Mus musculus: one gene and its partners. The main gene of each other region encodes a partner of the protein of the gene in region 3 in a complex. Links are inferred from orthologs where the notes say so. Each region holds a gene or a part of one and is shown on either strand. Other genes may lie near its edges. The genes, in order: Rubcn, Pdzd8, Rab7 and Rilp.

Region 1 (3,562 bases), on a different chromosome or scaffold from region 3:
CCTGACCTAAGACTCGGATCTGGTCTTTGATCCAAGCCCACCAGAGTACACAAACCAGCTTGTGCCCACCTATGCCAGGAATATTTGAAACAGGGAAGTCATGGTTGCCCTTTGAGATCCCGAAGATGCTAGAACAAGGATGGTTCTGTTCCTACCTGCCCTGCCCCCCCGTATACCTAAGTGGCCAGACAGAATGCCCGTTGTATACCCCCCTTCTCTCCCGTGACTCAGGGCACAGTCTTAGTCTCTGTTAGGACTAGGCCTAAGAAAAGACCATTCTCCTGCTTCAGCAGCAAAGGAGAAGGTCGCTGGCTGAGAGAGGCCTGGCTCAGACTCTGAGGAACTAAGTCAACAGTGGGTATGATCGTTAGCTGCAGCTGTAACCAGATCTGGTCCTAGTAGAAGAGGCCGAGCGGGTCAGAACTGGGTCTCGATGTCCATTCCCCTGACAAAAATACCCAGTGCCCACAGACAGCTGTCACAAGAGACTGGATCCATCAACCAAGAAAGGTTGCCTACACTTGGACAGCAGACAAGTCATAAAAAATGACAATATATATATATTTAAAAGGCCCCACCTTCCTTGAAGGTGTGGCTCAGTCTATATCTGACCCTCGCCAGACCCTTACACAAAGGGCTTAGTGCATTCCTCAGGTGGTCTCTAGGACGGTGGCCTCTAGAGCCAAGGCTTCTGTGGGCTCCTCCTCATAGTCAGACAGGTAGGACTCCAGGCTCTGCTTGGCCAGCAGCTCCCGTCGGGCCTGCAGCCGCTCACACCGGGGGCAGCGTCCAGACTTGAAGCAAGTTTTATGGTAACACGCTTTACACTCTGTTCATTCCGGTTGAAAAGGAGAGAGAAGAAAATGATTCGTATTATCCTGGGCTGGAAGCAACTCCCTACTACAGCTGCTCCTCCTCACCACAGCTGCTCCAACCCACCACAGCCGCTCCTCCCCACAGCTTGTGCTCCGGGCTGGAGCATGGAGTCACTCACACCACACTCCTGCTAACAGAGGACTCACGGGGAGTACAGCGGCTTCCCATCTAGCAATGGCCCTCACCTTCACAAGTCCGGCACTTATGCAGCTCAAAAGGAAAGATGACATCCTCCTCATTCTGACAGAATTCACAGATGAAGCCCTTGGCCTGACACAGCTGTGGAGAGAGTGACAGGAAAAGTGAAGGGCTGGCTCCAGAGGGTGAACTCCAGCGAGGGGAAGCAAGTCATAAATAAACCTTTGAGCAGGTGAAGGGTCTATTGTCTGTGACATACAGCCTCGGGCTGGACTTGTGAGTATGAGAGCCACAGCAGGGCTGGACACCACACACAAAGCTTCAGGGATGGACAAGAGACACAGGCTTGAGCATTCCTTGCCACTGGAGCAGCCCTCAGTGATGAGGAACGGGCGAAGAGGGGGTACGAAGAAGATGGTCCTCAAAGCTGTACTCCAGTATAGATTTTTTACTTTGAAACATATAGCACAACTCATTAAGATAAAAGCTAAAGTAAGGGTGTTTCCCAGAAACAACACCCTCTAGTCAGGCTATACTGCACTGTGTCCATCCCAACCCCACCGCACACACACCTCACCCTGCCACAGGCCACAAACCAGGCAGCTGACATGGGCAGACCTAAAAGTATCATTTCCAGGTTTCTAGCATGTTGACCCTTGTACGTGGAATTTACAGAGATACTGTAAGCTACTTCATCAGTCCTCAAAAGCTCAAGAGGGAAGGACAGTTCATCTAAGGGTCACCTTCATTCCAGAAAGAAGAAAACGGTGTTACAGAGAGAGCAAACTGCTGGAGACTGTGACTGAAAACAGCAGCCTCTAGATTGTGGTCAAGGTCCTACTGAGTGTGGCCTTCTTCACTGGAGGCTGCTCAGTCTAGCCTGGGCCAACACCTGCATCAACTCTTGTCCTAATTGCTTTTGTATTTTTGTTTTCTCAAGACAGGGTCTTGATGAATAGCCCAGGCTGACTCTACTCAGATCCTCCTGCCCCAGCCCAGCAGCGCTCCCTCCTCTAACTCCGGGTTCTTCACATAAGAAGAACCTATTGCTCACGGACTTAGAGAACTGCAAGCCCTTCTGGTTTCTCTCAGTGTCAACTGGCCGCATGAGGAGCTAAATGACAGGAACCCTGCCCACCTAAGCCCCACCTAAGCCCCACCTAAGCCCCACCTAAGCCCCACCTAAGCCCAGAGCAAAGCCTCGGCTGCAGGGCAGAGCAAGGTCGCCTCACCATGCATCTCTCCACGTGGGCGGCTCCCGCTCTAGTGAGCTCCGCCAGCCGGGGCCCCAGTTCTCCCTTCTTGGTTGCAGTCAGGTCACTCAGCGAGTACAGATGGAGGTCCTCTGTCAGGTGGCCTGGAACCACGTCAAAGGAATCCAGGAGCCTACAGAAATGAGAGGCAGAGGGAGGAGAGGAAATAAACATTTCCCATGGTGCATGACCGTACCAAACTCAGAAGGAGAGAAGCTAAGGGGGTGAGGGGAGGGGACAAAGACGTTCAGCCAGCCCAGGTATTCTAGGCTACCCCAGCTCTCCATACCGAAAGTATTTTATTTATAAATTCTGTAGAGTGAGCTTGGAAAATGGTGTCTCACCTTGGACAGATAGTCCTTTTTAAAAGAGACACAATTCAATTACTGTCATGGCTTCCCACTAGTTTCAGACATTTCTGCAAACTCTTTCTCATGTAAAGTAGGCAACAGCTGGGACATAGGCCTTTAAGAGACAACGGGCAGTTGGGATATAGGCCTTTAAGAGACAACGGGCAGCCAGAGGACCCTGGCCTCCACGGGAGACTTACTCTTTGGCCAGTCGGCATGTCTTAAACATGTTCTTCATGTGGTACAGCTGAACCCGCAGCAGCTGCAGACAAGACGTTGGGTGGAGGAGAGGAGAGAGAGAAGGACCTGTTAGAGGGGCAGCTAGTCCTCCACTCTTCACACAGCACCTCTCAGTCAAACCTTCCACACCTCACTTCAGTGTGCTCATCAGACACAATGGCAGCCGCTGAGAACTCTGGGATTCAAATGCCCAGCCCTGTTCTCCGTGAGGGCAGAAATGGCCTTTGCTTCCCAGTTTTATCGAGTCTCAGCTGCTTCGGGGTTTGCGAGTCTGGCAGGACAAGCACACAGGAACTGTGTGAGTGTGGCTCTGGGACAGAGGCCTTGCTAGCACTATGGGCATCAGTGCTGGGCCAGTGCTCCCCAGCACTGAGAACAAACAAGAAAAGTCCTCAGAACATGAACGGTGACTGTGACAAGAAGTGTGGTGACCTAAGGCAACTGCACCAACAGGAACAGGAGCTAGGACAGAAACAGGCATCCAAGGCCCGGCTTGTTCAGCTATCTCACCCGGACTTGGTTAAGCAGCTTGACCTTCCTGTAGAGTGCGCTATTGATGTCCTGCACATTGAAGAGAGGATCATTCCAGATCTTCAGGAGCAGGTCCTTGGAGAAGTTGCTGACATAGTACTTGCTGAAGTCCCATTTGCGCAGAATGCGGCTGGGGACGACCATCTGGGCGTTCTCGTGGCAGCACTGGCAGAA
Region 2 (3,562 bases), on a different chromosome or scaffold from region 3:
GAATAGAAGATGATAGAACCTTTAAGCAAGTGGAGCCTTGAGGGAAGTCCTTGGGTCACAGAGCTATTCTCAGAAAAGTTAAAGTAGCTCTCATAGGACCCCTAGAGCTTTCTAAGACAGTTATGAGGAGCCCAGCTGCGTCCCTCTGGCTTCCTGCAATGCTGTGTGCTTTCTCTTATACTGTTAGCACGGTAGTAAGCAAGGCTACTTATTATGAGATCCTCAGGAGAGCTGACCTGTGCCATATCAGTGAACCCCCAAACATCTAAGTAGACCCATTTTCTTCATAAATATTCTGTTCCAGGCATTTTTTTGGTTGTAACAAATAAGAACTAATGTATTCTCTTTATAAATAAATCCTACAAACCAAATGTACCAGCATATGCATTTAGTCCCAGCACTGGAAGCAGAAGCAGGGAGATCTCTGTAAGTTTGAGGTTAGCTTGGTTTACATAGTGAGTTCCTGGGTAGCCAGGGCTATATAGTTGAGACCCTGCCGGAGGGAGGGAGGGAGGGAAGGAAGGAAGGAAAAAAAAGTTTGGTAAAACTAATATGTAGAGCCAGAAATTCAAACCCCACTGAGTACAATAGTATTCCAACTAACAAGTGTCCTTCAAAAACTTTTTTTTTCAATATGTCGTAACTCTTGGGGCTTGGGAGAATAATCAAAATTTGGTGGGTTTTCTCCTGTTCATTAGAAGTTAGCTGCTAAATAGGTACGCATCACTGCCGTAAGGAAGATATTTACCTGTAGAGTTCATGTGAGAGAACTTAGAATTCATTCTTGACCCTATACAGATCTACCCATTTAAGCACTATGGCATGTTAGCATGGTGTGTGTGTGTGTGTGTGTGTGTGTGTGTGTGTGTGTGTGTATGTGTGTGTGAAAGAGAGAATGAATGAATGAGACTCTAAAGGGAGGTTAGGGGAGAGGAGACAGATTATCACTATCATTGAGACAAAAACATAAAAATTTGTAAATAGGTTAAACTATAATGACAGGTCTTTGAAACCTCCATGGGTAATTTATTTCTGGATATCAGGGACTAGACAGTTATCATTAGTATATTAAATATTTATCTTCAAGCTCTGGCTTATAATTGAGAGGTCAAGATTTCTAAAACTAAGGCTGACAAGATGGATCTGTGACTAAAACCCAACAACCCAGGTTTGATCCCAGAACCTACATGGTTCAGAGAATACCTACAGTGTACACATACACATTAAATAAAATAATGTTCCAAAGCCCATCTAATGACATGGACTATTCCTGCTGAATTTGAGAAAAGCAACAGTCAAGATCCATTCACAGTATATGATTATATTTACCATGTCTCAGCTTTGATACAAGTGTCAATTTTATATTAAAGTATAAACAAATGCAAATTCTGGCTCAATTCTTAATTTTTAAAAAAGATTTTATTGTATATGTATGTGAGTACACTGTAGCTGTTTTCAGACACACCAGAAGAGGGTATCAGATCCCATTACAGATGGTTGTGAACCACCATGTGTTTGGTGGGAACTATACTCAGGACCTCTGGAAGAGCTGTCAGTGCTCTTAACCAATGAATCATCTTTCAGCCCCCTCAATTTATAATTTTGTAATAAAGTATAAGCAAATGTAAATTCTAACAGTAGTTCTAGATCGTATGATTGGAAGTGTTTTTCTTTTGATTTTGTTTCTTTAATTTCCAGAATTTCTATTATAGGTATGATCCCTTTAAAAACATTGAATACATTGTGTTTCATGTTTTTAGAATATTTTTGTTTATTGTTTGGCAGTTTCATACATGTATGTATAATTTTTATATTTGATGTGTATATTTTGACCCTCTCTCCCACTTCCCCCAGGACCAGTGACCTTCATACTCCCTTATCTCTCACATCTTCATGTTCTCTTCTTTATGATAGACTTTTATTCTTTGAGAATTTTATACTTGTACCATGTCTTTTGATCACATTCTCTCCCCACTCCCTCCTCCAATTTTCCCAGACCCTCCTCAACACATCCTCTCTCCCAGTTTCATGTCATCTTTTCTAATTTTTAATAATTCCAATCAGTGCTTACATGAATGTGTGGGTATCGGGCTATCCCGTGGAGTATGGGCAGACTACCAATGATGGCCACACACCCAGAGAAAAATAACTCTCTCTTCCCCCAGCAGCCAATAGCTACTCAGCCAGACTGCCCCCAGAACACGTTCCTCTCGTTATTCCATTATTATCTCCTGTTCCTCTTCCTTGTAAGAACACATGTGGTCCAGTTGGTGTTGCCTGCATGCATGTGGGTATGAGGCCATACACGGGAGCATAGGCAGACCACCTTTTTTTATTGTTTTTTTTTATGACCACATTTAAGTCATCATAATCTGAAAGTATATTTATATTTGTTAGTAATGTCTTAATCTGTCACTTATCTGTAATTATAGTCACAATGATTTAAAAGTCACGACTGTGATACTCTTATCTGTATTACTTTTATCTCAATGTTTTCTTTCTTTTTAATCCTTTATCAAAGGTTGAATTAATAAAAGGGAATTTACAAAGTGTCGGACTTACACTTCGTCTTGTTCAGTCAACTGATGGGTATGCTGGGCATGTCATAATCGAAACTGTGGCCCCAAACTCACCTGCTGCGATGGCAGATCTTCAACGGGGAGATCGGCTCATTGCTATTGGAGGTAATTACACACTGTATAGTATAACTTACGTGTACAGAGAAACTACAAAATTGGCTGGAGAGGTTTTTTTTTCTCTCGTCTCCCTATTTTTGAAACAAGCATCTGTTAGTTTTATAATGGAAAAATCTTCATTATAAAGAAAATTGCAAAAGAGGCCTTAGCATGCTTGTAAAAAACAAGAGCCAGTTTAGTCCTGATGTTTAAACATAATTTCATCTTTAAACCACTTCACTAAAATTTTCTCATTTCCTTTCCCTTCCCACCTTCTCCTCTATGTATTATTAAATACAAAATTAAGAGCCAGATAATAATGTCTTCCTGTATGTCCATTACCACATGACTTCTCTCATCGTGTTGTAGTACTAGAATTGAACAGGAGAGAAATGAATATTCCTTACCTGAGAGGGAGGATACACCTAACCCTATTCTGAGACTCCATGTTATGGGAAAGGCCTGTGGTTTGTCAGGATGCTATTATTCAGAATGCAACCCAAATCTCTATGGTAAATACTGTATACCTTCCTGTCAGCTAGATGGTTGTAAATAATAAAAATAAAAATGAGTTATCTGCTTGAGTGTATATACATAATAGCGGACTCAAATGTACACAACAGCACAGAAGTAATCCAAGCCCTTTTCATATTTCATAGTACCTGGCCCACCTGGTGTAGGCTTTGAGCATATAAAAATGGCTATAATTTAGCTTAATCTTTTCAGAAGAGTATTGTGTGTTCTTTTACAGCTAAGACAATAAGGTGAAGCAAAAAGGAATTATCACTCAATATGTCAGACTCTGCTTTTGATTCAAATCCATCTTGACATTAAGATAATGAAAATGATTTAGTTAAGCACTTGGAGTTAAATTAGCATTTTCATGT
Region 3 (3,562 bases):
ATAAGGTGCGCAGACATATGGAAACACTAAATCAGCCTTACAGAACTCAACTTTATAAAAATGTTTTTATTTATGTGTTTGCCTGCACTTGTGCACCAAATTGCCTAGAGAGCAGAAGAGGGTATCAGGTCCCTTAGAACTGAAGTTATACACAGCAGTGCTGAGAACTGAAGCTGGGTCCTCTGTAAAGAGCAGCTAGTGCTTTAAATCACTTTTAATCACCGAGACATCAATTTAGGATAGTCAACAATTAAATAGTTAACTACTACCTTAATATTTGCTATCAGAAGTTAGGAAAACCCAGAAAGATTTCCAAGCTGAAGCACTGAACAAAGGCACTTAGATAAGCTACAGAACTTTAATCCCAGCACCCCAGTGCAATTTATGAGTTCAAGGTCAGTCATGAATACAGACACCAATGCCTCCAAAAGAAAGAAAGATAAATAAATAAAGATATTTTAGAACACAGAAGAAACCGGTAGGTTGCTAAGTTTAGAAAGGAAAAAGAAGGGGCTGGAGAGATGGCTCAACAGTGAAGAGCACTGACTGCTCTTCCAGAGGTCCTGAGTTCAATTCTCCCAGCAACCACATGGTGGCTCACAACCATCCTTAATGAGATCTGATGCCTTCTTCTGGAGTGTCTAAAGACAGCTTTAGTGTATTTACATATAAATAAATCCTTATAGAAAGAAAGAAAGAAAGAAAGAAAGAAAGAAAGAAAGAAAGAAGGAAGGAAGGAAGGAAGGAAGGAAGGGAAGGGAAGGGAAGGGAAGGGAAGGGAAGGGAAGGGAAGGGAAGGGAAGGGAAGGGAAGGGAAGGGAAGGGAAGGGAAGGGAAGGGAAGGAAGGAAAAAAGGAAGGAAAAAAGGAAGGAAAAAAGGAAGGAAAAAGAAGCTAGGCATGGTAGCACAAACCTTTGATCCCAGCACTTGGGAGGCAGAGGCAGGTGGATTTTTCTGAGTTTGAGGCCAGCCTGGTCTACAGAGTGAGTTCCAGGACAGCCAGGCTATACAAGGAAACCCTATCTTGAAAAAACAAACATAAATAAATAGAAAGGGAAAAGAAATGAAAAAAAAAAAGACAATAACTGTAGCTAAAATTAAATTTTACAAAAATTCCTAGTTGTCTTGTAATATAAATTTCAAATTTAGGATTGGGGTGTGGCTCCGTGCTCATGCATGGCGGGAGCATGTGCACTCAGCCTGCATGGGGCTCGGGCTCTGTCTCCACCATGCTCCCGACCGTGCTTTTACTGCTATTTTATCCAACAACACTATTTGCAGCCAATTATCCATTCTCCACAAATATAATGGTAAGTTTGAAAAGCACGGAGGTATGACAGACAGTCTGGATGCAATCAACTGGGCCTACACGAGGGCTCAGCACAGAAGGTGCTACCCAGAGGTGAAGTGCTCCGCACAGAAGCTTCATGACCTGTGTTTAATCCCTACAACTCACAGAAAGGAAGAAAGCAAGCCAACTCCACCCCCACCCACCCACCCACCATTTAAAGAAGACTTCATTTAAAGAAGACTCAGTAAGCTGGCAGTCTGGCTCCAGGCTGAGCAGTGGCTCACCTGCATGGTAACAAGTCTGTCGTCCACCATCACCTCCTTGGTCAGAAAGTCCGCTCCTATTGTGGCTTTGTACTGGTTACTGAACTTCTTGTTCACATACTGGTTCATGAGAGAGGTCTTTCCAACACTGAAATTGAACAAAACCCACATGTCTGAGTCAAATAAGGGACTGAAAGGGATTTGTGTTTACAATGTTCAAAGCAACATGCCTGAGCTAGGAAGAGCGTTTAGTTGGTAGAGTGCTTGCCTGACATACACCAGGCCTGGGTTTAACTCCCGGTACTGCAACAGTTTAAAAACAAAACAAAGCATTTTACTAAAAGAAACACACACAAACTCACTCACTCCTAAATGGAACTTTGTGATAAGATCACTCCAAACGGCTTTGTAATCTCAGGTGTTTATGCATCACTCAGTGTGGTCAAGTAACACCAGGAGGAAGCCACTCAGCAGTATGTAGCCAGAAAGGAATGTTCCAAGACAGGTGTAGCCCCACATGCCTGGAATTCAGTGCTTAGAGATAGAGGCAGCAGCACTGAGAGCCTGAGGCTAGACTGGGCTGCACAGTGAGTTCAAGGGCATTGAGCCACAGTTTTTGTTTCAAAACTAAAGCCCAAGCAAAACAACAAAACAGGGCCTGTTTGATGGCTAAAGCGAAAGGCACCTATTGCCAAGCCTGAAAACTTAATTCAATCCCAGGGCCCCCAGAGCAGGAGGAAAAACAATTCTTGCACGGACCTTCACACCCACACGCATATGCACATACATAATAAAACATTAAGAATGTCCCTCCCAAGGAATTTTTTCACCAAGAAAACTCACCAACCAAGTGTTCAGTAAGATAAGGGTAGGGTCAGGGTAATGCAACCTAAAGAAAGCGCCAATGCTTTCCTTGTTCAAGGCTTTCCACAAAGAGTGCACATACATACAGCCTAAGACAGTAGTGCTTGCCTTGCCAGGGGTATAGCGCAATGGCTGACCAGTGGTCTAAGGTGCTGGTTCTACCCAGTTCTGCAACACAATTAGAATTTACAGAAGTAGAGTGAGGTCTGTAATCCTCAAAGGCCTTGAGACTCCTTTCAGACAGTATGCCATTTCTCACAGTCCTGGGCAGGAGACACTATTCCTATACTCTACCCCACTGGAAGGCACTTTCAAAAACAAGAAAATACTTGTTTGAGGGTTCCTTAAGCATTTCAATAGGCCAAACACAGGAAACCCCAACAGTAAAGGATAGAGGCCAGGCCCAGAGCCGAATGTGGAACTGCCTTGAGATCAGTGAGGATGAAGCTCCAAGCCAATCTGAGGTCAGATTCGTGAGAAACACTTACCCAGAGTCCCCCAGGATGATGACCTTCAGCAACACTTTCTTCCTAGAGGTCATCCTTGAAGCTGTCGGGAGGAGAAAGTGCAGGTGAGCTGAAGAAACATTAAGGCAGTTTTGCATTGTCTACAGTGCAGCCACTCTGGTCTGCCAGGAGCTGAGCCCCAGCCCTCACTCAGACTGGCCCCCGGCCTGTGAACCCTTTAGCTAACCTAACAAGACAGCAGGGCAGGGGCTGAACGGATGCCGGTGCCCTCTCTCTCCTCAAGTGCTGGGTCCATTACTGGCATCAGCAGTTGGGATTAACACTCCAAACAGACTCACAAATCTCACAAGTGAAGATTAAGCACTACTTTCTCAGCAAAGGAACCTATTTCCTTCCTTCCTTCCTTCCTTCCTTCCTTCCTTCCTTCCTTCCTTCCTTCCTTCCTTCCTTCCTTCCTTCCTTTTCCTCTCTCCCTTCCTCCTTTCTTTCATTTTTTAGAATCAGGGTTTCTGTGTGGCTCTGGCTGACCACGAGATGGTCTTTAACTCTGAGACCTGTCTGCTTTTGCCTCCTGGGCATTGGGATTAAGAGTGTGTGCCACCACAGCCAGTTAGGAACCAATTTAAGGAGCGCCCTGTGCTGGCTAGTTTTATGTCAACTTGACACAAGCTAAAGT
Region 4 (4,026 bases), on a different chromosome or scaffold from region 3:
GGAATCCAGAGTTAAGCCTCCTGCATAGCTGAAGCCCTCAGACCAAGATGTTCATTGAAAGCAGGGGACTAGTCAGGAGTTGGGGGCTGGAGGGCTGTTCACAGGCTGCAGGTGGGGTTGCTGTGGGGTCTCTTCTCCTTTCTGTAGGCTGCTGGAAGCTGGGTTGCTGGTCTCGGCTTCAGGGGCCTCAGTTTCACCCCGATACCATAAGCCAAAGCTGGAAGGGAAGCCAAGAGAGGTGCATTGAGCCGGGGAGGCAGAGATGTCAAGGATGCAGGCCGAGGGTCCAGAAAGGTGAAAAGGGGGTTCTGGAGGAAAGAGGACAGCATAGGTCACAGGGAAATGAAGGCACAGAGGACAGAGAAGCAGGTGGGAAGACAGATCTTAGAACAGCGTGAAAGGCAGTGGAGTGGAAAGAAAGAGTGGAGAAGATCCAGGCAGGCCCCTCCTTCACCTTCCTCCCTCCCCTCCTCCAACATACAAATTCTGGATTCTGGACTCAGGAACTAGGGGAACATCTTCCTTGTCGTTGGAGAGCAGGAGCCACGAGCCATCCTCATCCTCACTAGGATAAAGAAATGAAAGGGCTGTATATCAGGGCCTAAGGGATACTATGAGTCCAGCTTGTGTGGAACCTCCTGAAGGACTTTCAGGAACATCAGGGGAGGATGGAGTGACTACAGAGGCCTCAGGGCTGGAGAGGGGACAGTGAGGGGATCAGGGACTCTTTATAACCAGGCAGACAACAGCCCCTCACAAGACTGCATAGCTTCCTTTAGTAAAGAGATCCAGCCAAGGAAGGAAACATGAGTCTGGAGAAGTAGCATGGACAGTTTCTTCAGCAGGAGGCATAGCAGCCGGGGCAAGCGGGAGCAGTGGATTCCAGAGGAAAGGACGGCAGCTGGAGAGCAGGCTGAGTGAGGTGCCAGGCACAGCTAAGTTGTATCACTGGGCACAGCAGAACTGCAGCAGGCCAAGGGGTTCGTTTGGTGAGCACAGAGGCAGGATCTTACCTGCTCTCTGCTTCTTCAGGTGTCCCTAACATCTTGGCCTTGATCTTCCTCCTCTGTTTCTTGACTGCCACCTTCATGGCTTCAAGCAGAAGCCCAGGAACACGGTGATCTGTGAGCAGCTCTCTAGAGAAGCAGGAAGGGAAGAAAGTGGGAAGGCCAACAGGAGGTGTCAATCAAGTACCTGAGCTCTGCTCACTGTTTCCCCTGGAAACCCGTGAAAGCTCTATACCGCCAACACCTCTGAAATGAGCTTAGATGGCCCCTCCTAAGGATAAGGCTTGCTGCTTCAGTTTGGTGACCCCTGGTGCTGCCCTGTTTGAGTGAGGTTCCAGAAGGGCAAGGACTGTGGAAGTTACTTCTTCCCAGTGCCTGAGCAGGACCCTGGCAATTGTCACTGCTGATCTATAAACGATCCAAAAAATAAGGTGGGGTGACCAGGAACAGGCATCCTGGCTTCCAGTCCCTCACCGCTGGAAGTACGCCAACTCCTCCTTGAGCAAGAACACGTTGGCTTTGAGCTCATTCCGCTCCTGAAGGATTTGCTTAAGCTCTTCCCTGCTGAATCCACACTGGACAGCTTCTGGAAGGTTCCCTGGCTGCTTCTGAGTATCCACCTGTACAAGGTCAGGAATGGTCAGAGAGCAGTCTGTCTTAGCTCTTCCCTAAGTCCCAGCGCTCACAATAATATTATGGGAAGTGTCTGCTGGGAAAACTTAGAGGACAAAGTTGCTGCTACATAGGTGTACATAGCACACAACTGCTGTTGCTACCTTCCAACTTCCTGGGTACCTTCTATACTGCATGGTACATCCATGCCAGGTAAACCCAGGCTGGGTCATCAACTGCTGAATGCTGTGAGCTCTGGGATGTATTTTGACTTCGCTCCGTCTCTTACCGGGTCATCTGAGGTTGCCGCATCAGGTTCCAAGCTCTGTTCTTTAGCCAGCTGGCTGGAGCCATCCTGAGCTATCTGGCGCTCCCTCTCCCGGTCCTGGGCGGCCCTCAACTGGGTCTGCACTGCAGCCAGCTTGTGCCGCAGCTCAGAGTTGATCAGCAGGAGGCGCTGTAGCTGTTCCTGCAGCTAGGGGGTGGAGCGAGAGAGCTAGGGGCGGGGCTCCGAGGGCCGTAGCGGCCCCACCCCACTCCGCCTGGCCCCGCCCTCACCGCTTCGGTCTCTTGGCTTCGGCGCTGCAGATCTCGGTTGTGTGCCCGAAGCTCATCCCGCTGTCTGTCTGTCACCTCCTTGAGCTGTCGGAGCAGCGCGCGCTCCTCTGAGGAAGGGGTGTCTTTAGCACTACCGATCTCTGGGGTACGCAGGCCCCGGCTGCCCCCAGCTCGCTCTGCTCCGGTGGGACCCTCACTCACCCTGCGGCCCGGAGCCTAGCTCCTGGCGGAGGCGTTGGTTCTCCTCGCGCAGCCGCCGCAGCTCCACTTCTGCCTGCTGTGCGGACACCTGCAGCTGGGGGAGCCAGGGGTCTCAGGGTTAGGCCTGCCGGCTCTCAGGGGTAAAAGGAGGAGCCGGTGACTCACCGAGTCCGGAGCCGGCCCCACGGCGGCCTTTTCCAAGAGCTCCAGCGCCCGCACGACTAGTGGCACCAGCCCAGCCGCCGCGTCGGGTCCGAAGCGGCGTGCCAGCCCCTGTAGCTCAGTGCCCAGAGCCCCCGCTAGATGGTACACGAGCTCGGCGGCTGACCCTGCGCCCACTGAAGAAGAGGCCTGACTGGGTAGCCTGGGCGCTGCCCTCCTGGGCTCCATTTTTTCCTCTCTTAAGGTCAAAAGCCACCCACACCCTTAACTGGTGCAGGAAAAAGCTTAACAGTTCCGGCCCAGGAAGTTTAGGGCCATAAGGGGCGGGGTAGAAGCAACCCGGGAGGAACAAATAGGGAAAAAGGCCCTGGAGTGGGAGAGTGCTCTGGGCTCCCTGTGCCCTACAAGGTCACTGGATACAGGTCGGCCAACTTCCAGGCAGGTATCCAAGAGTTGAGGACTAGAGCTGTAAGTGGTCACTTCAGGCAAGCCCTCCCCATAGCGCCTGACCCGGGCTCCACCCCTGGACTTGGCTGCCAAGAGGTGAAAGACTGAAGGTCAGCAAACAGCCTCTACTGGACTGCAGGGACAGTCACTTAAGTATGTTCCCCCACTAGGAACCACACAGTTTACAAAAATGAACGAGACCGGGCACTACAGCTATAGGAGGACCACACAGTCCAAGAAGTGATGTTGAAAATAGGTAGACTCCAAGTACTTTTACAGAGAAACCAGCAAATATGCTCAAAGTAATAAGCCAGCCCCAACTCAGCTCCCTGAGTCTAGGGAGCCTCTAAGCCTCCAGCGGAGAAGGCCTCAAGGCTCTGAAGGCAGGGCCCAGTACCTTGCTGTCAACTGCCCAAGCTAGTCCCCAATCCTCAAACGCCTATGCCCAGAATTTGACCTCATAACAGCAAGAAAACAAAAGCACTATTTATAAAATTTATTACATTTTGTTCAGGATTACAATCTATCAACAACACAAGCACAGAACGCAAAGGGGCTGACTGCTGAATGTCAGCAGCTTGTCTGGGGAGGGCGTTCAAGAGGCTCCAGGCTTTGGGGATCTGAAGCAGAAGGAAGTAACTAGGCATAGAGGTCCTCTCTGTCTGCAGAGTAGACCTCACCCTCCTGCAGAAGGGCGAAGTTGAGGAAGTGGGAGGGCCTGTGGACCTCATGGTAGAATTCCTTGGGGTTTGCCAGCTGCAGCTCGTATTTCATGTTGGGATCATGTCGAACACCTAATGGGAGGGGAAACATCAGAAGTTAATAAGGTTCTGCCTGCCTCACCCAGCCTGGGCCCCTGGACCGTTTCCAAGGCAGCCAGACCTCAAGATGACAAGATGACCAAGCATGCTGGTCACCTGTCTCTACCCCACACTTCCTAGGCACACACAACCACGTACCCATAAAGTTGTAGTTCCAGGAGGACTGGGCGGGGACCATGAAGAAGCCGAGGAATCGGTCAGACAGGAGCATCTGAACC

What was found.
Region 1: the proteins of Rab7 (region 3) and Rubcn are in contact, whole or in part, in a crystal structure (PDB 6WCW), measured with the Homo sapiens proteins. The link is inferred for Mus musculus from reciprocal best matches to the Homo sapiens genes RAB7A and RUBCN. Residues at the interface, in NP_004628.4 of Homo sapiens: Ile41, Gly42, Ala43, Asp44, Trp62, Gln71, Ser72, Leu73, Gly74, Val75, Ala76, Phe77, Arg79, Ser101, Asp104, Glu105, Ile108, Gln109, Ser111; in NP_055502.1 of Homo sapiens: His818, Asn821, Met822, Lys824, Thr825, Arg827, Leu883, Gln885, Ala886, Lys887, Gly888, Phe889, Ile890, Glu892, Gln895, Glu897, Ile900, Pro903, Cys915, Lys916, Arg931, Arg934, Arg938.
Region 2: the proteins of Rab7 (region 3) and Pdzd8 are in contact, whole or in part, in a crystal structure (PDB 7F6J), measured with the Homo sapiens proteins. The link is inferred for Mus musculus from reciprocal best matches to the Homo sapiens genes RAB7A and PDZD8. Residues at the interface, in NP_004628.4 of Homo sapiens: Lys10, Leu14, Asp16, Ser17, Lys38, Ile41, Gly42, Ala43, Asp44, Phe45, Gln60, Trp62, Gly66, Glu68, Arg69, Phe70, Gln71, Ser72, Leu73, Gly74, Val75, Ala76, Phe77, Tyr78, Arg79, Thr98, Ser101, Trp102, Glu105, Phe106; in NP_776152.1 of Homo sapiens: Ile999, Lys1000, Leu1001, Val1002, Arg1003, Lys1004, Glu1005, Gly1007, Leu1008, Asp1009, Asp1010, Phe1013, Ile1014, Lys1017, Gln1044, Leu1051, Asn1054, Asn1055, Val1058, Leu1077, Leu1084, Gln1085, Thr1088, Ile1092.
Region 4: the proteins of Rab7 (region 3) and Rilp are in contact, whole or in part, in a crystal structure (PDB 1YHN), measured with the Homo sapiens proteins. The link is inferred for Mus musculus from reciprocal best matches to the Homo sapiens genes RAB7A and RILP. Residues at the interface, in NP_004628.4 of Homo sapiens: Ser3, Lys6, Leu8, Ile41, Gly42, Ala43, Asp44, Phe45, Leu46, Thr47, Thr58, Trp62, Ser72, Leu73, Val75, Leu182, Tyr183, Asn184, Glu185; in NP_113618.2 of Homo sapiens: Phe248, Glu249, Leu252, Gln253, Arg255, Asn256, Lys259, Ala260, Phe263, Leu264, Glu267, Glu268, Tyr271, Arg274, Glu275.

What each region holds. Positions count from the first base shown.
Region 1 is NC_000082.6:32,823,318-32,826,879, forward strand, and holds part of Rubcn (run domain Beclin-1-interacting and cysteine-rich domain-containing protein), read right to left. Parts: coding exon 3,368-3,562; intron 2,880-3,367; coding exon 2,818-2,879; intron 2,401-2,817; coding exon 2,247-2,400; intron 1,156-2,246; coding exon 1,062-1,155; intron 830-1,061; coding exon 651-829; 3' UTR 1-650.
Region 2 is NC_000085.6:59,304,280-59,307,841, reverse strand, and holds part of Pdzd8 (PDZ domain-containing protein 8), read left to right. Parts: intron 1-2,521; coding exon 2,522-2,684; intron 2,685-3,562. UniProt on the Homo sapiens protein: Molecular tethering protein that connects endoplasmic reticulum and mitochondria membranes. PDZD8-dependent endoplasmic reticulum-mitochondria membrane tethering is essential for endoplasmic reticulum-mitochondria Ca(2+) transfer.
Region 3 is NC_000072.6:88,010,731-88,014,292, forward strand, and holds part of Rab7 (ras-related protein Rab-7a), read right to left. Parts: intron 2,969-3,562; 5' UTR 2,961-2,968; coding exon 2,908-2,960; intron 1,704-2,907; coding exon 1,577-1,703; intron 1-1,576.
Region 4 is NC_000077.6:75,508,890-75,512,915, reverse strand, and holds the start of Rilp (rab-interacting lysosomal protein), read right to left. Parts: upstream 2,823-4,026; 5' UTR 2,769-2,822; coding exon 2,544-2,768; intron 2,473-2,543; coding exon 2,379-2,472; intron 2,285-2,378; coding exon 2,178-2,284; intron 2,095-2,177; coding exon 1,909-2,094; intron 1,628-1,908; coding exon 1,482-1,627; intron 1,137-1,481; coding exon 1,014-1,136; intron 566-1,013; coding exon 482-565; intron 218-481; coding exon 73-217; 3' UTR 1-72. Other genes in the region: Prpf8 (pre-mRNA-processing-splicing factor 8), read right to left, coding at 3,627-3,781, 3,947-4,026. UniProt on the Homo sapiens protein: Rab effector playing a role in late endocytic transport to degradative compartments. Involved in the regulation of lysosomal morphology and distribution.